3 linked regions of the Tamandua tetradactyla genome follow. The protein of the gene in region 1 purifies or fractionates together with the protein of each later gene. This does not show direct contact. Links are inferred from orthologs where the notes say so. Each region holds a gene or a part of one and is shown on either strand. Other genes may lie near its edges.

What was found.
Region 2: the proteins of EZH1 (region 1) and AEBP2 purify together in Homo sapiens (affinity purification with mass spectrometry; 3 studies listed by BioGRID and IntAct, with this or other methods). This does not show direct contact. The link is inferred for Tamandua tetradactyla from reciprocal best matches to the Homo sapiens genes EZH1 and AEBP2.
Region 3: the proteins of EZH1 (region 1) and PHF1 purify together in Homo sapiens (affinity purification with mass spectrometry; 5 studies listed by BioGRID and IntAct, with this or other methods). This does not show direct contact. The link is inferred for Tamandua tetradactyla from reciprocal best matches to the Homo sapiens genes EZH1 and PHF1.

Annotation. Positions count from the first base shown.
Region 1 is NC_135332.1:24,496,959-24,504,808, forward strand, and holds the start of EZH1 (histone-lysine N-methyltransferase EZH1), read left to right. Parts: upstream 1-4,836; 5' UTR 4,837-4,968; intron 4,969-5,247; 5' UTR 5,248-5,333; intron 5,334-7,850.
Region 2 is NC_135333.1:82,026,981-82,033,839, forward strand, and holds the start of AEBP2 (zinc finger protein AEBP2), read left to right. Parts: upstream 1-3,856; 5' UTR 3,857-4,064; coding exon 4,065-4,720; intron 4,721-6,859. UniProt on the Homo sapiens protein: Acts as an accessory subunit for the core Polycomb repressive complex 2 (PRC2), which mediates histone H3K27 (H3K27me3) trimethylation on chromatin leading to transcriptional repression of the affected target gene.
Region 3 is NC_135331.1:89,391,412-89,398,975, forward strand, and holds the start of PHF1 (PHD finger protein 1), read left to right. Parts: upstream 1-4,561; 5' UTR 4,562-4,683; exon of another isoform or gene 4,684-4,760; intron 4,761-4,920; exon of another isoform or gene 4,921-5,210; intron 5,211-5,421; 5' UTR 5,422-5,436; coding exon 5,437-5,595; intron 5,596-5,674; exon of another isoform or gene 5,675-5,683; coding exon 5,684-5,765; intron 5,766-5,877; coding exon 5,878-5,973; intron 5,974-6,396; coding exon 6,397-6,500; intron 6,501-6,606; coding exon 6,607-6,755; intron 6,756-6,932; coding exon 6,933-7,028; intron 7,029-7,149; exon of another isoform or gene 7,150-7,240; coding exon 7,241-7,309; exon of another isoform or gene 7,310-7,408; intron 7,409-7,438; coding exon 7,439-7,562; intron 7,563-7,564. Other genes in the region: kinesin-like protein KIFC1, read left to right, coding at 98-388, 508-581, 727-802, 3,232-3,276. UniProt on the Homo sapiens protein: Polycomb group (PcG) that specifically binds histone H3 trimethylated at 'Lys-36' (H3K36me3) and recruits the PRC2 complex. Involved in DNA damage response and is recruited at double-strand breaks (DSBs).

The sequences.
Region 1 (7,850 bases):
TAAGGGTCATCTCCTGCAGTGATGCAGAAGAGTCACCTTTCTTTCAGAGCCACTTTCGACTGGACACCAAATGCTATCTTTTCTCTCAGAATATCCGCGAGTACCCTTTTCAAGAAGAAGCTATGGTTGAGAGGGAGATTCCTGGGTTATAAGATGGGAGGAGGGCACAACAAGGGACAGAAAGCAAATCCAGACTTTTTCACTGGGCTGGGTCCAGAAGCCCCTGAGCCCACTATGGGTTAGGACTAAGGACGGGACAAGACTGAAGTTGTCAAAAGCAAATGCTGGGTTTGAAATAGGGCAATATGGTATAATGGGCTAAAATATCCTAAAATGGTTAGGATTCTGAGGCCAGGTTCTGCCCCTGTCTTACTGTGTAACCTTGGACAGGTCACTTTATATCTCTGGACCTCAACATTTTCACATATAAAATTGCCGTAGAATAAAAAGGGAAATGTAGATGACTCAGTAGGAAGTGTTATGTTTAACTTAGGGTTGGGTTTAAGTTTGTATGGTAATGTAATGACCTACAAAGAAGAGCTTATGTAACCATTCCTGAACTTAGAAGTCCAGATCCTCCCATTGGAGAATCTACTGATTTTCCCCCTTTCCCTATTTAATATCTGGTGGATATTTTCATTGACTGCTGGACATCTTGGTAACTGAGGGTCTGCTATAGGGGCCCCTTAGTGCTTAACAGGAGACTGGAGACTTTACCTTCCTGTTCCAAGTTGCCATAGGAGATAGTCACATGATCTACAGATATGAGACAGGGAAGGGATTTTTCAGGGTCTGAGGCTGTTTTTATCATGGAAAGCCCCCTCTTTCCAGCCATCCTTGGGGGCCTTTAACTTCTCTTTTAGCCCACTTCTGCTTTCGCTATAAAAAAATTTTTTTTCATTACAGGTAAAATATAAGTATGTACTAATTGTAAAATATTTACATAACATAGAAAACTATAACTCCACCCTGTCTCACTTACCTCCCCACATATTTTAGATTAAAAACAACATAAATGGGATTTAATGTACCTATTTGTCAATGACTTTTAAACTTAATAGGTCTTGCATATCTTTCCATGTTACTATACATAAATGTGCCTCTTTCCTTTTAACATAGCATAATATTGTTTTTAGTCTCTTTTTTCTAATATCCAGTGGGCAGATATTTTTTCTTCTATCTGCCCCCCTCCTCCCCGCCAGTGCCTGGGAAGAAAAGGATCAGATTCCGGTCCAGCTGGTCATTGTCTAGCGATTTCCGGACCCAACCTAGATTGATTCCTTCTGGAATTTACTGACATGTAAAAAAATTCCCTTCTTATTATCTGCCAAGGGCTTTCCTGCCTGGAGCAGGGGAGAGGTGATGCAACCACTAAATCCAGAACAACATAGAAGAGAGTAAAAGGCACTGGGGGCCCCCTACACCATGCAAATTATATGCACCCTGAAAGTAGCATCTTTACCATGTAGAGACATTCACACATGCTGGCCTCTGTCCAAACTGTCTGCAAAATGAAGAGTAGAGCGCCAGAGAAGATGTGAGGGAGAGGGTCAGAGAAGCTAGAAGTCCCTCCTGAGAAGAGTCTGATTCTTCAGAGGGATCAAAGGAAGCAGGGAGGACCTGAGAAGCTGCAAGCCAGGGAGGCAGCTGGCTAAAGGAGGGAAAGCAAAGGGGTAGAGACACAACTACTCAATCTCTCCCCAGGTTCCTCAGCTACAGAATGAGATGAACTTGATTACCTCCTAAAGAGAATTGTTATTAAACAAAAATTTGTCCCTGAGTTAGAAAGAAGCAGAGAAAATGTATTCCTCGTCAACCGCTGGGGACTGAATAGTAACTGCCATTTATTGAATGCTCACCTAACTATGTCTTCATAGTGTGTTCTCTGACACATGTGCCAGGTGCTTTGTATGCATTTCTTAAAGCCCTACCCCATAGGATCAGAACTATCCTGTTCATGAGTAAAATGGGGAAACAGGATCAGAGAGTTTAAATGCTTTGCCCAAGGTCCCAGAGCTTATCATTGTCAGAGTCAGGATTTGAATCCAGGACTGCTCAATACTAAGTGTTCTAGTTTGCTAGCTGCCAGAATGCAATATACCAGAAACGGAATGGCTTTTAAAAGGGGGATTTAATAAGTTGCTAGTTTACAGTTCTAAGACTGTGAAATTGTCCGAATCAAAACAAGTCTATAGAAATGTCCAACCTAAGGCATCCAGGCAAAGATACCTTGGTTCAAGAAGACTGATGATGTTCAGCATTTCTTTCTCGGTTGGAAGGGCACATGGCAAACACGATGGTGTATCTGCTAGCTTTCTCTCCAGGCCGCTTACTTTATGAAGCTCCCTGGGAGGTGTTTTCCTTTTTCATCTGTAAAGGTCACTGGCTGGTGGACTCTGTGGTCTCTCGTCCTTCTGTTATCGTTCTGCAGCTCTCTCCTCATTCTCAAAATGAACTCTTTCCAAACTGTCTCCTCTTTTATAGGACTCCCACAAACTAATCTAGACCCACTAGAATGGGTGAAGACACATCTCCATCTACTCAAGTTTAATACCCACAATGGAGTCACACCTCTGTGAAGATAACCTAACCAAGTTTACAACCTGTAGTACTAAATAGGGATTAGAAGAAATCGTTGCTCTCACAAGATTGATTAGGATTAAAACAAGGTTTTTCTAGGGTACACAAATCCTTTCGGACTGGAACATTAAGGTTCAGGCCTTAACTATTATGATATATCATCTCCCTCCCCCCCCACTCCTGCTCAGATGATTGATTCTTACTGGATGTTGAAAGGAGGGGAGGATAAAGAGTGAGAAGATCCTGCTTCACCCAACCAAGTACACTTATTCTCCTTCCCCCTCCTTCCCTGACTCAGGCTGGACCATGACATCATATGGTAGGGGCTGTTTTTCTGAAAAGAACTCTGAATGAATTCATAAGAAGGACGTTCAGACAGCATGACTGAAGAGGACCGTGGCCAAGTGACCACAGAACACACCCAGCAGTGCCGAGAACATGGCTGGTCCCTCGGCACCTGGGGCTGAATCATGGTTGCTGTAAGAGCCCAATGCCCAATGCCAGAATTGTTTTCACCCTCCCCCCAATCCTCAGGAAGGGCTGTGTTCCCTGTGGTTATCCTATGAAACCATCCCCAGGAGCCCTCTTACCCTCTCCCACCATCTTAGGATGTTGTATAACATGGCATAATAATGCTCATTAACCAAGCCCTGAGGATGCCAGGCAGTATGTTCAGTGCTTCACACAGATTATCTCACATAAAACTCACAACTCTATTAAATTAGGTATCACAGCAGCTCATTTTACAGAAACTGAGGCTCAGAAAGAGTAAGTAACCTGTCCAAGGTCCTGCAACTAGTAGTGGCAGAGTCTGGATTTGAATCCAGGTCTGCTTGATGCTGAAGCCTAAGCACTAGGCTAAGTTCCTTGATACCTCATGGAAGCCAAGCTGCTAGGTAAGATCAGATAGGAAGGGATGAGAAGCCTGGCCAGAAGGTCAACCAGACAGGGCTTCTCATGCAACAGAATACTACCCCTCTCTTGACAATGCTTGCTTTATCTACAGTGTCTTTTCCCATACTTTCTCCTAAGACCTTAGTACATTAGATGGCCGATGAAATGGAACCATGTTATTATGAAATAAGCAATTTTCTAGATCATAATAAGGATTCAATACATGTTAAGCAAATGTGATACTAATAGCCTGTATGTTTAGCATGTATGTTGCTTGTCATGTGCGCTTAAGTAATATCATAAAAGGCAGTATTTTCCTGTTCTGTAAAATAGGGATTATAATATTCAATTAACTAAGTTATAAAATATAAAGACTTAGCATTTGGCTCACAGTCAGTCAATGCTTATTTTTATTATTTCTATTGCTTTATTGATTATGAGCATGCACTTTGCAGTCAGGTAGACCTGGTTTTGAATCCCAGCTCCATCACTTGTTTAGTTGTATGTGACCTTGCACAAATTACTTAATTCCTCTGAGTTTGTTTCCTTATCAGAACAATGGGGTTCACAGCCTATATCTCACTGAGAAGTAGAGATAGTAGATATAAAGCACTTGGCACAGGGCCTGGTACCAGTAAACATGCTGATAATGGTAATTACTGTGATTTTGTGTTACACATAATGACAACTATATTTCCAAGATATTCTGGAATCTCTTCAGTTTCATAATTTTGTTCTTTTCATTATACAACACTCCTTTTATTGAAGAAAATGTAGACCTTGGAGTCAGGCAGAACTAGCCTGAGTTCGAATTACAGTTCTGTTACAGCCATGTGGCAATAGACAATATTGTCAATCTCTCTGAGCCTCAATGTCCTTTTCTGTAAAATGTGAAAAACAATACTTACCTCCCAGGTATCTCACAAGGATTACACAAGGTGATATAGGTACACACCAGTGCAATGTCCAGTGATTATGGGAATGCTTAATGCAACGTGTTCAATGTATAAATAAATATAACTTATTTTTGTTCCTTTACCTACGGTACCATGAATGTAATCTGTAGATGTATTTGTGGGTAAAGTGGCTACTTCTCTTGTTCCAAAAGGGCAAGAGCCCCATTCTAGCCACAGTAAGATTGAAAGGGGTCATAGCATCAGCAGTGTGGGGCCCTGCTGATAAGCCAGGAAAGAGAGGAGAGGAAGTCATGAACCAAGGGGACCTCCCCTTTCCTGTCTGGTTATGATTTGTTTGTTTTCCACACAGGCTGTACCCTGCTGATATGGGGGTCTGTTGAGTGTCCAGCTTTGATTGGCATCTTCAATACAGGGGAAATAAGGAGCCCCTTGACTTTCAGGAACTGTTTTCCTCTGGACTTACAGACTAGAGTTGCAAAGATATTTCTCTTGCTGTTGCCACTGGTGGGAGCAAAGAGCCACGGGGAGAATCCAGAATCATAATGTCAGGGCTGGAAGACGTCAGAGAAAGGAAGAGGTATAATGAAGCGGTTCAGGGCATGGGTTTGGGGGTCAGAATAACTGGGCCCAAATCCCGGCCACATCACTAACCAACTGAATGACTTTGAACAAATCCCAGAATCTCTTTAAGCCCTAGTTTCCTCAGCTGTAAAGTGGGGATAAGAACGTTATCAGTTTCAGGTGAAATGAGATGATGTGCAAGGCATTTAGCATAGTGCCAGGTGTAAAATTGGTGTTCAGTATATGAAGGCTATTATTATTATATTTTTCTAGTTCTGCCTTTTTGTTTTTACAGTTGAAGACCCTGATGGCCAGAAAGGAAGCACAGCTCATTAGTTGTCCGCCCAATCAAGACTACTTCCCAGGCAGGCCATGCCAAAGGTGTGTCCTGTGGGATCAAGGGGCTGCCTTAACCATTTGGAGGGAGTGAGCATGGGAGTATCACTCTAGCTATGGGGTTGGAACTTTTAGAGTATGTGCAAATCAAGGCATGAATTCCACCCAAGTAATCCCTAAAAGAGCAAGCCCCTTTTTGTAATTAACAAAAGCTAAGGAAGGCCCTCTCTGATATTTTGTCTTGGAGGCTCAGAGTTTAAATTTGTAGCAGCCATGGACAAGGGTTTATTTTAGGCCTGTTCTTACTTGCTGAGTTAAACACATTATTATAATCCTGAAGCACCTAGAGGCCAGAAGCTAAGTACCTAGGGTGGAAAACTGGATTTTTGAGATCAGAGGATAAAGTGTCCAGGAGTGGAGAGGCTTCAAAATTGAGCAATATTTCCAGGCTCAGCAACGTCCAGACCTCAACTTGCTTTGGAGCTGCTTTTGCCTCGCTGTGCCTCTAAGTGTTCAGGGAGGGGTCTGGCACTTGAGCTGACCCCACCAAGGGCTGGGCAGCAGCCCCAGTTCCTGGTGACCTTCTTGTAGGCTTTTAGGTTGTGCTTTGCTTTGCTTTGCTTTGTTTTGTTGTTTGTTGCCTCAAGGCAGGGTGGATGTTCCCTGCTTCTGGGTGGGAGCTGGGGGAGGGAGCTGGTTTGCTGTACTCCCATTTCCACAGCTGTGTTTACATTTCCCTGTCAGGGACTGTCTGAGGCCCAACCTTTCCTCAGGCCTTTGTGTCCCCTTGGAGAATGGTGGTCTAATATTACCCAGGGGAGGAGCAAAATGGGTCAAGGGAGTCACAGTTCAAAGGGGACTCAGGTTGGAAGGAAGGGATAATGCAGAGAGCTCTATTTGAATTCTGGGAGGTGTCTCCTCTCTTTCCTTTTCTAGTAGCCTGAGGAGGACCAGCAGGGGACAAAAGTACACTTAGAACTCACCCATCCCAGAAGGAATGGAACATATGTCACGTTGTTCCTAATCACTGGGTTGAACAAAATCTCACTTTGTGATGGGAATGTGAGTGCATAGAGCAAAACAGTCTTCCCTGAGCTTTCACTGGGACTAGTGGTTACAGATACAGCATGTTAGAGCTAATAAGATCATACTAAAAGACATGCAAATTTAAAAAGGGTTTAAGAAAATGGTCAAGTAAATATGCTCTTCTTCTCCAGGGAGCAAGTTGAGCTTGTATTAATCAGTACGCTAGAGTTGCTGGACTCTTGGCCAAGCTGGGAGAATGGCCGCCAAGGCAAATCAGGCATCGGGTTTCAGAAATTAAACACATAATTTTGTTTTTCCGCAATAGGGAACTTTCAGAAAAGGAACCAGCCCTATTAAGCTACACAGCACACTTTGTCCAGTTTCTTTCAGCCCCAGAGGCCTGCAGTTCAAGAGCAAGATGAGCAACTGGAAGCCAAGAGTGACAGAGTTGTTCCTTTCTCCCATTAACTGCCCGGGGGCGGAGCAGGCAAGAGTGGGGCAGGGGTGATGGTACTGTTTTCCAAGGGTCCAGTTACTGACAACACCCTAACAGTTTTTCTATGAATTTACAGGAAAAAGACCTAAAGGAATGGAAAGTAAAAAGAATTGTAGGGGGACAGCTAACCAAACAAAGGTTGGCTGATAGTGCCACATGGAACTCTCAGCTAAGAGTTTCCTCTCCAGAAAAACTCTCTCCCATTTTAATGAGGAGAAACCAACTGGCAAACAATTTCTCCCAAGAACCCAAGTTTACTGGTGATGTAGAAAGTCGTTTTTATAATCCTTCAGCGAGGATATACCTTTCTCTCAAGTGCTCATGGATCATTCTCAGGGATAGACCATATGCTGGGTCACAAAGCAAGTCTCAATAAATTTAAAAAGATTGAAATCATATAATCCTTCAGTGAACCGGGATTACTTGGGTTTAGTCCTATGCCAGGGATCCTGGTGGATATAAAAGGGGCGTATGGCACGGTACAGAGTATAAAGTACTGCCAGACCTGAAGTGCCTGGGAGATCCACGAGGGCAGGAAGCCCTGGTGAGGCTGTAGATCTTGAACCAGGTTGCATAACTCTGATCTACTTTGGCATAAATCCCCTCACCTTCCTTCCTTTTCACCTCAAACTATTTCTGTAACTATACTTTCCTTGTTATCTCAAAATTTCTTTTTATCTCTCATCTTATCACTTGAATAGTCACTTTGACAGCCACTCCCATGGCTTCAGTTACCATCAGTCGGTGAAGGTTCACAAATCTCTCACCAGTTTTTCTCCTGACATTCAAATCTTCTGAACATCTCTTAGAAAACCCACTTTCTTTCTTTCAACAACTATTATCCCAAGAACCCAAGTTTATTGGTGATGTGGAAAGTTTTATAATCCTTCAGCGAACTGGGATGACTCGTGTTTAGTCCTATGCCAGGCATCCTAGTGGATATAAAAGGAGTGTACAATAGTTCTCAAACTTGGCTGCACATTAGCATCACCTGGGGTGCTTTTAAAACTCTTGACACCCAGGCCATACCCTAGCCAAAT
Region 2 (6,859 bases), on another chromosome or scaffold:
GAAGTATCTCACATGCAGTGTAGCAGGAATCTCGGCTTGAATGTAAACTGGATCTGTTGCTGGGGTTCAAGCATGTCTGGGCATGTCTGGCAAACTGGTGAGACAGGACTGAAAGAAACTTGCTTACATGGGGGCTGAGGCTGCTTCCTGGAACAGAACTCATTTTCGTGGAAGAAAGAATTAGACAGAGAAGCCCTATAAGAAAGACTTACTCATTGGATGGGGAGTAATAAATACAGCGTGGGGTAGCTGCTACTCAAATCTGTCGCCATTCTAGGCCCATGAAAGCATGTCTGGGTCCCTTAGAGAGACAGACTTCTGAATAAAAAACATAAAGAGCTGTTTCACTGAAACAGTGTATAATACTGGGCATAAGCAGTTTGCTTTGGGGTTCCCCTAGCAAAGGTCAACACGAACGTCTCCATTTCTTCAGACGACACCATGGCTTGGGCTGTTTGTATCACATGCAAAAGCTCCTGGTAGGAGTTTGCAGTGTCTAGAACAGTGAAGAGGGCTCTCAGAAATATTTTTTTGGTGTACTCTGCTGGAAGCTGATGTCCTGACTATGTAAGTAGGCTTGGTAGGCACAAAAGATAATGATATTTGAGTTATTTTTGTTAATGCGACCTCATTAATACTATAATTGATGAGTTTGAATAATATTTGTAATCAATTAGCTTTTATGCAGTATTATTGGGCAATTTGTAATTATTTATAGGGTCACATACTGTCTGAGCTGAAGCGAACTGTAGAACAGTGATTCTCAATTTGTGAACAGTTTTTTGTCTTTCTTTTTAATTTGCAAAGGACTGCTACTTGTGTAAAGTACAGTGAAAATGAATGGCCAGAATAATGAAATTAAAAAAAAAAAAACAACAGTTGACATAAACAAAAAGGATTGATTTTTATTATTAGGTTCAGCAGACGTAAAACAGAATTACTCTGTCGGGTTGTTAACAAAGTTTGGAAACGTTCATTTCGGTATTTTTGCGGTCGCATTCAGGTAAGGAAGGCTTTGTGTTGTGTTTGTGGAAGCAGCCACGCTTTCCGCTGTCTCTTCCAACCTCTCAGCTGATGCTGCCTAAAGAAACTCTATCAATGGAGGTGCAGAATCTATTAAAACAACGATTTAAATTTCGAGAGTTTAATGACACCGATACACTGTGGTAATGTGGAGAAAGATCTTGTTTTTAGGAGACGCATGCAGAGTAGTGACGTCTGCAACTGAAGCCGATAAACCTGAGAGGGAAACTGGGAGAGAGGGATAGAGGGAGGCAGAGGGAGGGGGAGAGAGGGAAGTAGAGAGGGTGCACATATGGCAAATTGCAGTAACTGATGAATCTAGATAGGTGTATGGGTGAGCTTATTATACAATTATTTAAACTTTTTAGAAAACTTGCTATTAAAATAACAAAAAACAAACAAAACCAAAAACAAAATAAACACCACCCCCCGGAAAAAAAAACAACTCTGCAGTAGTGGAAAACTCATTATTTTCTCCAAAAAACCCAATTTCATCTTAAAGTATAAATATTGTAGCTGGAGCACTCATTTGTGGCTTTGATTACTGTCATTTCCATGTGTAAATCTCCATTCACTTTTTTTTCAGTCCCTCCATATCCCCTATACATTAGATATGGCCTTACTACATAGCTGTACTCACACCTTTCTTAAGATACCTCAGAATATACTCGTTATTTTTCAGCATCAAAACTCTTAATTCAAGACCTGCAAAAGCATTGCTTTCTCATGATTGATTAACCCTGTCTCAAATAAACTTTTATGCTTTTCTATGCTATTGCTTCTGTCTTAGAATTCCCCCCCGCACAATTATATTTTATTTACTCTTCAAGATCCAGCTCAAATTATTTAAATTTACATGTAGCTATCATCTACCTTACTTTCTACACTTCTGTTTAAATCTTACATTCTTCACGAAGTTTCCTTGATGAACTCAGCCAAAGGTCTCTAGTACTTAACAGAGAGCTTGGTGATTACACTCAGTAAACAGTTTTGAGTGAATACGCTCTGTTTAGTTCTTCATTTTCAATAAGGGTGTATTATCAAAAAATGGCTTTGAGGTAAAAATGGAGTACTGTAGTGAAGGAACTATAATGCTTTCATACTAATTTTATTTTGTTTTCTCTTGAGACAACATCGCATGTAACTGATGTCCAAAACCTGAGCATGAGACATAATACTGGGGTACTCACGGTATATGAAGACTTTCCCGTATGTGTATGAGCACAGACTCTATTTTAAGGCAATAGGTTGTCTGATACTCATCTCCCTTAGACAGGTGTCCTTAAAATTGATCTGCTTGAAAATGTGCCCTGGGTTCAGGGTGCAGTGCAGACTACCCTCCCTTATTCCAATTGCCTTTCTCCCAAACAAAAGAAATGAAAGCATGATGCACACTCACCTCAAATCTTAAGGGCCAAAAATCTCCCAAAATTTTACTAAAAGGGCAAAAAAACCCTCCAGGATGCAAAAACCTCCAGAACACCAATGAAGGGGCAAGTGGAAATACTGTGGGTGAGTGAGAATGAGGAGCACATCCATTACAAATCAGGTGGTTTTCAGTTACACACAGCAGAGTTGAAGGAAAACCTAATCAGAGTTGTCAGCTGAAAGATCATTGAAAGTATTTTGTTGTTGTTAAATCTCTATGATTTTTTGGCATATAATTTGGAAGGAGTTCAAAGATTTGAGTGACATTGCTATTATTCACAGAAGTCCATTCATTCGCATCTACTTATTGTTGTGAACAAGTTTCCTCGGTGTCTACATCCACGGAATTGAAAACTTGGAATAGAATTAACGCTGAACTCCTTATTTTTCTAGTAATATTCAGCCACTGATTAAACTTGTTGAAACAAAAACCTATCTAACTCCATTGCTGTAAGAATGGTCTCCTCCAGGTTTTACTTTTGTGTTTAATACTTACAAAAATTTACCATATGTGTTTTGACTAGTTGTAATAACACTTAGAATCTTATGGTCAGTAAAATTAAAAAAAAAACCCTTAAATTTCAGTTTGTATGCACATTTTTGTTATACGTTAAGAGTGATAGGATCAATAAAAGACAAAATGTTTTATTGGGATAAAATACTGGAGGGGAAGTTTAATACAAATAAAAGTTCCAAAAGATAAAGGAAAGATTGACAATTTCTGTGTAAAAGAAGAGATTGTTCACGTATTCTAAAAGAGTGGATTTGGCGGGTATTAAATCCCTATGGTATTGGAATTGCCTACATTTAAAAAGGGTGACAGTTACATTTTAAAGCCAGTACTTATAACACGCTGGAAAAAAACCGTAGGTGCCATCTACGTTTAAGACTGTACATAGTTTTACAAAATTAAGGGGCTCATGACTTACAACGTTTGAAGACTTCTCACCCAAAGGATGGATACTCTGAGGTTATGATTTCACCATCATTACAACTATTCAAACAGGTTAGATTTAAACCTGTGGCTCTATGTTGCACATATGGACTTAGTAACTTGTATGATTTAATTTGGTTCCTTTTAATCGCCTCTCCTTGGAGATCATAACCTCTCTTAAGGCCAGGAACTTATTCCATCCCAGGCTCAGCGCCAGTACGCAGCGGACACTCCCCAAATACCGCCGAAACAAATGACTTTCTCGTGCGAATTCGGAGGGTTGTTAAAATCCCCGGTCAGCGTTGGGGTTTCAGTTTCTTGTGTTGCGCTCGCCGCGCTGCCCGAGAGCGCGTGGGAGGACCCCTAGGAAACTCTGACGGCACCGAGCGGGAGCTGGGGCGCGGGCGCGGAACCTGCGGACTGGGGAGGCGGCACCTCATGCTCCGCGCAGGCGCGCAACTGTCTCCGCGTGAGTGCGCGTAGTCGCGCGCCTGTCCCCGCGCGGGCTCCGTAGCGCGTGTGCAAGCTGACGCAGCTCGCGGGCCCTCCTCCTGCTCTGCCGCGGCTTCGGCGGAGTTTTGGGCGTTTGGGAGGGGGCGAGGGAGCGAGAGTAGAGACAGCGAGAAGGCGGCAGCGGCGGCGGCGAGGAGGAGGAGGAGGAGGAGTAACAGGCGCCGCCATGGCCGCCGCTATCACCGACATGGCCGACCTGGAGGAGCTCTCCCGCCTGAGCCCTCTGCCCCCTGGCAGCCTCGGCGCGGCGCGAGGTCGGGCTGAGCCCCCTGAAGAGGAGGAGGAAGAGGAGGAGGAAGAAGAGGAGGCGGAGGCCGAGGCGGTGGCTGCACTGCTGCTGAACGGCGGCGGCGGTGGGGGTGGCGGCGGCGGAGTGGGGGGCGGCGAGGCGGAGACGATGTCGGAGCCTAGCCCCGAGAGCGCCAGCCAGGCCGGGGAGGACGAGGACGAAGAGGAGGACGATGAGGAGGACGAGAGCAGCAGCAGTGGCGGGGGCGAGGAGGAGAGTAGCGCCGAGAGCCTGGTGGGCAGCAGTGGCGGGAGCAGTAGCGACGAGACCCGGTCCCTGAGCCCCGGCGCTGCCAGCAGCAGCAGCGGGGATGGCGATGGCAAGGAGGGCCTGGAGGAGCCCAAGGGACCGCGGGGTAGCCAGGGTGGCGGTGGGGGCGGCGGCAGCAGCAGCAGCAGTGTAGTCTCCAGCGGCGGCGACGAGGGTTACGGGACCGGGGGAGGCGGAAGCAGCGCGACCTCCGGGGGCCGGCGAGGCAGCTTAGAAATGTCTTCGGATGGGGAGCCCCTAAGCCGCATGGACTCGGAGGACAGGTCAGTGCACCGAACCGTCTCCCCTTCCCTATGCCCTCTTGCACTCCTGGACCCCTTTAGGGGACTTTCTGCTGAGACCCCCGTGTTCCCTGAACCTTCGGCGCCTCCCCCAGGCTCTCAACTCCGAGATCTCCGACCGCCGCGCCCCTTTCGCAGCGGATAGCGGCTTCTAACTCTCAGACCATTTTTCTCCAACTCTCCTTTCCCCGCCCTCTTCCCTCTAGGCTCTGTGCTTCTTATGGACCTAAGGGGAGCTCTAACTTGGAAACAATCCCCAAATAGGTCCCCGATCTCCTGGTGGAGCACGAGGAGGCTTTGATGTACACCTTGGTACATAAGGTTAGCTTCATTCAACCGTCCTCGTGAACACTTGTCAGAACTATAATTGACAAGTGTCTTCCAACATGGCTGGTCTCGCCTGGATTTAACATAACTTCCTTGTCCAGGAAGGAGACCCCAATTATCGCTTTTCTCTACTTAAAGAAAAAAAAAATAAAAAAGGAAGATTGTGCTTTTATATTTAATCAAAGCTTTCCAAATTCCTCATTTGCAGTCATTAATGTGATTTCTGACATGATTTTAATAATCTTTTCTGTTTTGTGGTCAAATCTGGAAGTTTAAAACGCGTGTAAATTATCGTGGAAAGAATAATGAATTGCTGTTTTTTAAAATAACGGGCGTCAAAAAGTAGTAATGATAATACAGTGTCGAAGGTTCAACATACTAGTGTGTCGTTTAAAATCTTTAAAAAGTAATGCTTCGAAGTGAGAGTCACGATTTTAGATGATATTAAAAGTCATGTATGGGAGAGGCCTATGAAGAAATGAGTATCATTTTCTAAAACTTGCTAGGAATAAAGTGGAGACTGATTAAAAATGCATCCAGTATTTTCAGATTTGATAAAAATATTGTAATAGTATGTTTCCGTTCACAATCATTACACTGATCCCTTTGGAGAACTTAATGTTTTAATTAACTGGTTTTTAATGTACTTTTAAACAAAAGAATTATATGCATCATGCATATTATATTTCTAAAGTATATTAGCATTTATTTTAATCATCTAATATTTTGAGGAGCAGTAGGATTTTTAACAATCAGTATTGATTTTGATTTAAGAGTTTAAGTATTCTAAAGTTTTTTTTGCAGGAATTTTGATGAACAAAAGTAAAACTATCTTCAGTGTTACAAGGAATACAAAGGTCTGAATATTTTGGAAATCTAGCATTAGATTCTGTTCCACGTTTACTTTGTCTAGTTAAAACAGTTTGGATGGAGTAAAATAGACTATGAATGTTAGAAAAATTGTTCGTACCTAGGCAGGAAGAAGAATGTTCTCAAGAAAATTACAGATTATTTGTGAACTGCATAGTGAATTACGTGCTGTTTATCATTTTGTTATATTCTTCACTGCTACCACTAGAAGTTGATGTTAGGTTATACAGTCAGCATCTATCGCAGTTCCTTGTATTTACTGAATATTCATACACACACATAAACACACACATAAACATCCACATTTGCCTAATACTGCACAGTTTAAATGTTTCAGCTTTAGTACAGGATATTATTTTGACTTCCATTTAATAGATGATGAAACAAGTTGAGTTGTGTCTTACTCAAAACAATTCAGCTTGGGAGTTAACAAAGGTTCTCAAGTCCCCTGTTATTTCAATTTAACAAGACACTGAATAATTCACCTTAAGTAGCAAGTTGTGTATGTCAGATTTTGTTTGTTGCGTTAATTTCTTTCCATTACATCTCCTAAGGAGACAGTTTGTTGGCCATGTAATATTTCAGAAAGGATGAATTTTGGTTTCATTTGACATTTAATAGATAATTTCTTTGAAAATCTAATTTTTACATCCTTCAAAGTAAGGAGTAATGGTTTCAGGTGGTTAAAACGTAGATAACTAAGCATACTTGTCTTTTCTTAAAGAATGCTTAAATATTAGAGATTTCAAAATTTTGTGGTAATTTTTATATACAGTTTCAGGGTATTAAATTAATCACTTGGATGAAAGAGCTTTATATAAGTAGTGAACCTGGTTGCTGGTCTTGAACTTAATTCTGAAATGTCCTCTTCTTGCCTCTGAAGGTCCCCCCTCTCCCCCCAGAGTTGTTTTAATTTGGAAAGAA
Region 3 (7,564 bases), on another chromosome or scaffold:
TCATGCACTAGAAAGCAAAACCTCAGAGGGCAGGGGCTGACCCTCATTCACTGCCATTCCTGATATTGCCTTTTCCCCTTGCTGCTACCCTCCCTAGGTAGAGGCCCTGCTCCATCTGGCCCACCAGAACCGGGCTGTGGCCCGCACAGCTCAGAATGAGCGGTCATCACGCAGCCACAGTGTGTTCCAGCTGCAGATCTCTGGGGAGCACACTGGCCGGGGCCTGCAGTGTGGGGCCCCCCTCAGCCTGGTGGACCTGGCTGGGAGTGAGCGGCTAGACCCCGGCTTAGCCCTTGGCCCAGGGGAGCGGGAACGACTTAGGGAAACACAGGCCATTAACAGCAGCCTGTCCACGCTGGGGCTGGTCATCATGGCCCTAAGCAACAAGGTGGGAGTGGTGGGCCTCGGGTGGGGCAAGGGGAGTTGGGACTTAGAGGAAGGCTGGGTGGGCCTGGCCATGCTGAACCTTCCCCTATTCTAACCACCTGCCCCCTTTCAATCATCTAGGAGTCCCACGTGCCCTACCGAAACAGCAAGCTCACCTATCTGCTGCAGAACTCTCTGGGCGGCAGCGCTAAGATGTGAGTGAAAGGGACGATGGAAGGGGATGGGATAGGAACTGGGATGCGTTGGGTCAGGGTGGGGAAAAGAGAAACAATGGGGACCTGGTCAAGGTTCCACCCAGCTGCTGATGCTGAAGTTTGGCTCCCTTTCTTCTTTCTACAGGCTCATGTTCGTGAACATTTCCCCGCTAGAAGAGAACATCTCTGAAACCCTCAACTCTCTGCGCTTTGCCTCCAAGGTGCGATTACCATTAAGCCCAGGGGCTGTCAGGACCCCTGGATAATTGTAGGCTGCTTCATCCCTAGCCCTTCTGTTCTGTGGGGCCAGGGGGCACTTTCATCTTGCAGGGATTTACATTTGCTTCAGTCTGGCATCTCCAGTACTACCCAACTGGATCTATTTTTAACTATTGGTTTTAGGCCTTTTTAAAAGTTTTTTTAATAGGTGATTAAAAGGTTTAAACTATATAGAAAGCTGTACATAGCATAATCACGTCTTGCTTCCACCGCATTCTCCCGCTTATTTAGTATAAGTCATCATTTTTATCATTTGTCATTTTCTTATTTATCCTTCCAATATATAGATATATATATATATATATATTTGTAAATTTAAGCTATGTTCCTTAACCCCCTTCCTTATATAAAATCTCTCTCCCATCTCTATATGGTTCTATACCTTGTGGGTTTTGTTTAATAATGTAACCCCAAGACTACTCTCCAGCAGCATAGAGAGATCATCCCTTTCTTCCATTCTTTTTAGGGCTGCCTAGCACTCCACTGTGCGGATGCACCAACGTTTATCCACCAGTTCCCTCTGCTGGACAACTGGGATTGTATCCACTCTTTTTCTCTTACAGACAAGGCGACATTTACTAACTGTCCATATGTCATTTTCTATTTGTTTAATTATGTCTATAGGGTAGATTCATAGAAACGGGACTTTTGGATCAAAGGAGACTTAGGGAGTTTCCAGATCCTTCGAAATAGTGTGAATTCAGGCTTCAGAACCCATGAGGGTCAGCCATTGGCCGCAGATGCTCGAGGAAACTTGTGTACCTTCCACCTGAGTTAAGCCAAGTCAGAAAGTTGTACTATCTGCCTCTGGGGAGTAATGTTTTTCTCTGGCTTAACCTTTTTTTTCAGGGGGGATAGCCCTGTGATGGGTTCTGGCTTTATTTGAGGTCTCTGATTAGGCCTGCCATTCTGCTGTGTTTGGGCTTTCCCCAGTGCTACCATAGGGGGTGGTTTGCTGCTGTGGAGCAGCCAGTGGCCTCAGCACCTGCACACTGCCATGGTCTGCTTTGATTCTGTATTTTAACAAGTTCAACTGAAAGGGTGTTCTTGTTTTGAACTTTTTATTAAAGTTAAATGTTAACATCCAACAACATGAACTCTTTAATGTCCTCTAATACCCAGTTCATGTTAAATTTCACTGTTGTTTCAGAAATATCCTTTATTCATTAGGTTTATTCACATTAGGATACATGGGATCCAAGCAAGGGCCACCTGTTCCATTTGGTTGAAATGTCTCTTAAGTTTCTTCTAGTATATAACACCCTTCCTTTTATGCCATTTCTTTGTTGAAGAAATAGGGTCATTTGTCCTATGGAACATATTGTATTCTAGATTTTGATTGATTGCTTCCTTTATCCCTCATACAGTTTATCTTGTAGCTTGATTAGATTTGAGTCAGGTTCCCATTTCTTGGTAAGAAAAGTCAGTAGATGGTACAATACACATTGCATTGTATCAGAAGGATACAATTTAGCTGTTCCACTTTCAGTGACAAAAAATTTGATTATTGGATTTGGGTGTTGTTAGTCTGATCCATCCATTTCATAACTCATTTTTCACTTAATTTTATCAGACAATGATGATCATGCCTAGATTCAGTATTTCATTAGGGAATTTTTAAATGGAGGCTCTTCTAATTTTATCAGTTATTTGGCATTCCCTAGTTATGATTCTCCTAAATGATTTTCCTTCATTTAGTTACTCCAAGATTGAGTCCATATAGGCAGGGTAGGTAACAGATTATCAGTTTTCAGTATAATGGAAGTGATACCCTTGCAAATTCCAGAGGTGACCAGTGAGTTCTTATCTAGAGGTATCATTTTGTAGATATTTATATATTTGATGTATATCAATCCTTTGCAGTCTTTATTTTTTTCTGATGTTCACATTTGTGCCATTTTTGGCCAGTTGGGGCCCCTTCAAGTTGGTTCCTGTGTCCTTTAGACAGGGTCCCAATAGTCTGTGTTCCAAACTCATCTTGAACACTTCCTGCCCCAGATTTGAAAGCATCCCTTTTCCAAGGCATTCTGGTTCCTAAATGGATTTTGTTAATATTTTATCTAGCTTATTAGGAATTCCGTGGGGTTCAAGGTTTTTAAGTCATGATATTGTTGGAAATGGAAGTTAAGTTTCTCCCTCTGCTCTTATATCTTGCTGTGGGGAGTCTTCTCTTGCCATTTCGCCTCCTCCAGGGCTAATGGGTATAGGAGGACTAACTATAACCAGCCTGAGCCTGTTTTCAGAGTTGCTATTTCACTATTCCCCAAGAACAGCTCTAGCATTGGGGATCAAAACAGATTTTGGGAAAACTGTTCTTTTAGTTACTGTGCAAACTTTTTAATCCTGCCTATTTACCCCCCCCTGCCCTCAGGTGAACCAGTGTGTTATTGGTACCGCCCAGGCTAACAGGAAATGAAGACGGAGCCAGATCCTGTGTGTGTTTGTGTGTGTTTGGGTGGAGGGGTGGCTGGGGATGCCTGGGGGGGGGGGGGGAAGCTCTGTATCTAGGCCTATTAAATAAAGAACATTTTTTTTTTAAAAGTGAAATCTTATTTGCAGCTATTTTTCATATCTCTAAAGATGGGAGCTGTGGATCTGTCTGCTCTGCTAAGCCTGTGTTCTGAAGCCTGCCCTTTATCTCCTCCTTGGCCCTTCCGGTTCTGGACCCTGGTCATCTCCCCCACACCTTCCTCACTTTGGGCGTCCGCATAAAGATGTGCCCACTAAGCTATCCAGTCTTAACGGTCACTAGTTGTTTCGCCTTTACACCCCACCCCCTGGCTGGAATGTTCCTTTGGCGTATGTGGAATGATGGGGACCCGAGCTCAGGAAAGGGGACCAGCGCGCACTCCCATAAACCGCTGGCTCTTTCCTCCCGCCTTTCCCTGCCTTCCCTTTCGAATCGCCAGGATTCTACCCCGCCCGCCGCCTATTGGCTGGCTCTCGGTGACGTCACCGTCCTGGGTGCTAGCCAGCCTCGTCCTTGTATAAGGTCTCCAAGTGCCAGGCTTTACGTACAAGGGAAGCGGGAGCGCGCTGACTCTCGCGCCAAGCACCAACGGCCGCCGCCCGGTACAGGAGGGGCTGGCCCAGTCCTCCCAGGTGCCGCGCGCGGGAGGGGCTACGCATGCGCGAAAGCACGGTGGGCGGGGAGGAAATAACTTGCCACGGAGAGGGCGGGGCCGGGGGCAACGGCGGGAGGAGGGCGGGGCACTCGTGGGAGGAGGGCGTGGCGGGGCAACGGGAAGGGTGAATGGAGGGCGGGACTGGGGGGCGGGACTTCGAGTGACCACTGACGTGGTGGGGGGCAGCTAACGGATGTGGCATGGGGCGGGGGCCCAGCCCAAAGGCGGGCTGCCGGGAGGGGGGATTCCCTCCTGCCCCGAGGGCGGGTCTCCCGTCTGAGGAAGGGGCTGTGGGGATTCCCTCTCCCTCCGAGTTCGACTGTCCGCCCGCCCCAGCCGCGGAGAGAGCGCCGCGCGCTCTGCGCCTCCAGGCCTGTTGAAGGTGAGGGAGGTGGGGTGAGGTGGTGCCCGCCCCCCCCGGCTCCTCCTCCCCCCAGTCCTCCCCTCCCACCACCCTCCCCCCCAGTCGGTCCGTCCCTCCCCTCCTCCCCCCTGCCGCCTCCTCCTGCCGCTGCCGCTGCTTTGGCTGCTGCGTCATACGCCCCAGAGCCGCCGGGACGGAGGGGCTGGGCCTGAGGACCCCCCGGTCTCTGCCTGTACGCCCCACGACGGCCGGACGTTCCCTCCCCGCGCGGAGGACTCGCCTCGGTCTCTCACGGCTGCCCCTGCCCGGCTCCCGGCGCCCCCAGCTGTCACCGGTAAGGAGGCGGCGGGAGACGCCAGTGGAGGGGGGGGCGGTGCACAGAGCCTGGGGTCGGTGCGCAGGGCGGGTGGGCGAGCCCTCGTTGCCTGGGCATCGGGTCCGGTTGCGTCGGCTCAAGTCGCCTCACGCTCGGACTCGCTCGTCGTGGGGAGTAAAGACTGGGACTGGGACACGCCCCCCTCCCAGGGCACTCAGGGAAGTTATTTAACCTGGGGGGGGGGGGGGAGGCTGGGATCCCCGAATTTGAGGGTGACCTGACATAACCTGGCACTGGGGTGATTGTTCTGAATGAGACACGCGCCGGCCTGGGGAAGCAGCCGTTTCTCAGAGACTCTGGACAACATCTCCAGAAAAGCTCCCAAACACATCTCTGGGCAACAGAGCACCCCAATTTTACCTCTACATAGCAACGGAATGTGACAGTAGAAGCTGAGTGATAGTCTTTGCTTCTGCAACCATCGTTTCAGCTAACATTTCAAGGCCAGGTTATAATATCCCAGGGGAGCTCAGGAAGCTGGAAAACTAGAGAATTGGGGGGTGGGGGTGGGTTATCAGGGATAGGAGTCAGGCACCAGAGTTGGGAAAGCTGGAGTCAAGAAGCTAGTAAAAGGTGCTGAGTGGTTTCATATCCAAATATCTTAGGGATTTGGAGAATGGAGGATGGGGGTGGGTGGGTAGCTGCTGAATATCTCAGCTTTCATAACCTTCTCTTCTCTATCTCATTTCTGGCTAGGCCCCCCAGAATGCAATGGCGCAGCCCCCCCGGTTGAGCCGCTCTGGTCCCCCCCAACTTTGGGACCCAGCTTCCCCTGCTCCCACCTCAGGCCCCAGGCCCCGACTTTGGGAAGGTCAGGATGTGCTGGCCAGATGGACTGATGGGCTGCTTTACTTGGGGACCATCAAGAAAGTAAGCCCTTTGACCTCTGACCTGTCACCTTCTTCCCATTCCCTTTAATCCTGACTCCCATCTCATCCTCTGAACTTACCCATTTTAGGTAGACAGTGCTCGGGAGGTCTGTCTGGTCCAGTTTGAGGATGATTCCCAGTTTCTGGTTTTATGGAAGGACATTAGCCCTGGTGAGACCCTAGCGGCCTGAGTATATATATATCCCACTGAAAACTGAAACCTGACTTCGGGGGGCAAAAGGGGGCTTATGGGCAGGCCCCCTGACACCATGTTCCCCCACAGCTGCCCTCCCTGGGGAGGAACTCCTCTGTTGTGTCTGTCGCTCTGAGACTGTGGTCCCTGGGAACGGGCTGGTCAGCTGTGAGAAGTGTCGCCATGGTAAGAAACATGGGCCTTCCAGGCTGCCTCTGGCCTTTCCCCCATCTATTTTCATACCACCTGGTCTGGCCTGGATCCCCAGGCCACCACTTTGGCCAGTCTCTTCAACCCCATAACCTTGCCTTCTTCCAGCCTGGGGAAAAGGAGTCATGGAAAGGGGGTAGGGGGTGGGGGAGGGGGAGCCTTGCAGGCAGTGTGTGGTTCACATACACTGTCTTCTAGCCATGTTAACTTGGTCAAGTCCCCTCTTAACACCTAGGGGTTTTAGCTCCCTTGCCTATAAAATAAAGATAATACATCCCATCCCAGCAGGACCATGGTCAAGGATTAAATGAGATGGATAAGGCTATTCCTACCCCAGTGCTAGCACACATAGGTATGTAATACAATAACTGATTTACTATCAACATTATTATTACTCAGCTTATCACCAGGACTGTCATGTTCCAAGGGCCCCAGCCCCTGGAGAGGGAGAGGGCACATCTCCCTGGGTCTGCCGCCAGTGCGTCTTCGCCATCGCCACCAAGGTAAAAGGCACCTCTCATTACCACTGCTGAAATGCTTTTCATTGGGAGCCCCCTACCTCTCCTCTCTCTGCCCCTTTGAGGCCACCTACCTGTTCTCTATTTGCAGAGGGGGGGTGCCCTGAAGAAGGGTCCCTATGCCCGGGCCATGCTGAGCATGAAGCTCTCTCTGCCATATGGACTTAAGGGGCTGGACTGGGACGCTGGACATCTGAGCAACAGGCAGCAGAGCTACTGTTACTGTGGTGGCCCTGGGGAGTAAGTAAGGGTAGAGGGCTAAGGAATGAGTGATATGGGTTTGGGGTGGGGGGCTGATCAAGAGCATGAAAATGGATTGAGGGGAATGCCGAGTGGGATGGGGGGGTATGTGATGGGCAGGGTATGGGGCAGTTATGGGGAGATATTCGGAGGCCAGTGTCCCACATTCCTCCATAGGTGGAACCTGAAAATGTTGCAGTGCCGGAGCTGCCTGCAGTGGTTCCATGAGGCCTGTACCCAGTGTCTGAGCAAGCCCCTCCTCTATGGGGACAGGTGAGACCAGGACAGATCCTCCAGGAGCTGACAGCCTGCCTTGCTTCCTGTTCCAACTTCTCAGCTCCACCATATCCTCCTCCCCTCCCATCCCTTCCCAACCACTACATTGTCACTTTACCTGTTGGCCCTATCTTTGCTGGTGAGTTCTCTGTATAGGATGTTATCTTTTCCAGCATAAAGTATATTCTCACTCTTTTGCCCCCATCCAGGTTCTATGAGTTTGAATGCTGTGTGTGTCGGGGGGGCCCTGAGAAGGTCAGGAGGCTACAGCTTCGCTGGTAAGCTGAGCTGGGCATGAGCTTCTCTCAAACCTGGAGTCTTTTTACCCTACATGCTCCCACCTACCATCCCAGAATTCCCTGGCTTTTGTGATGTTTCTCTGACCTTACAACCCCATGTTTCTCCAGGGTGGATGTGGCCCATCTTGTCCTCTATCACCTTAGTGTATGCTGTAAGAAGAAATATTTTGATTTCGATCGTGAGATCCTCCCCTTCACCTCTGAGAATTGGGACAGTTTGCTCCTAGGGGAGGT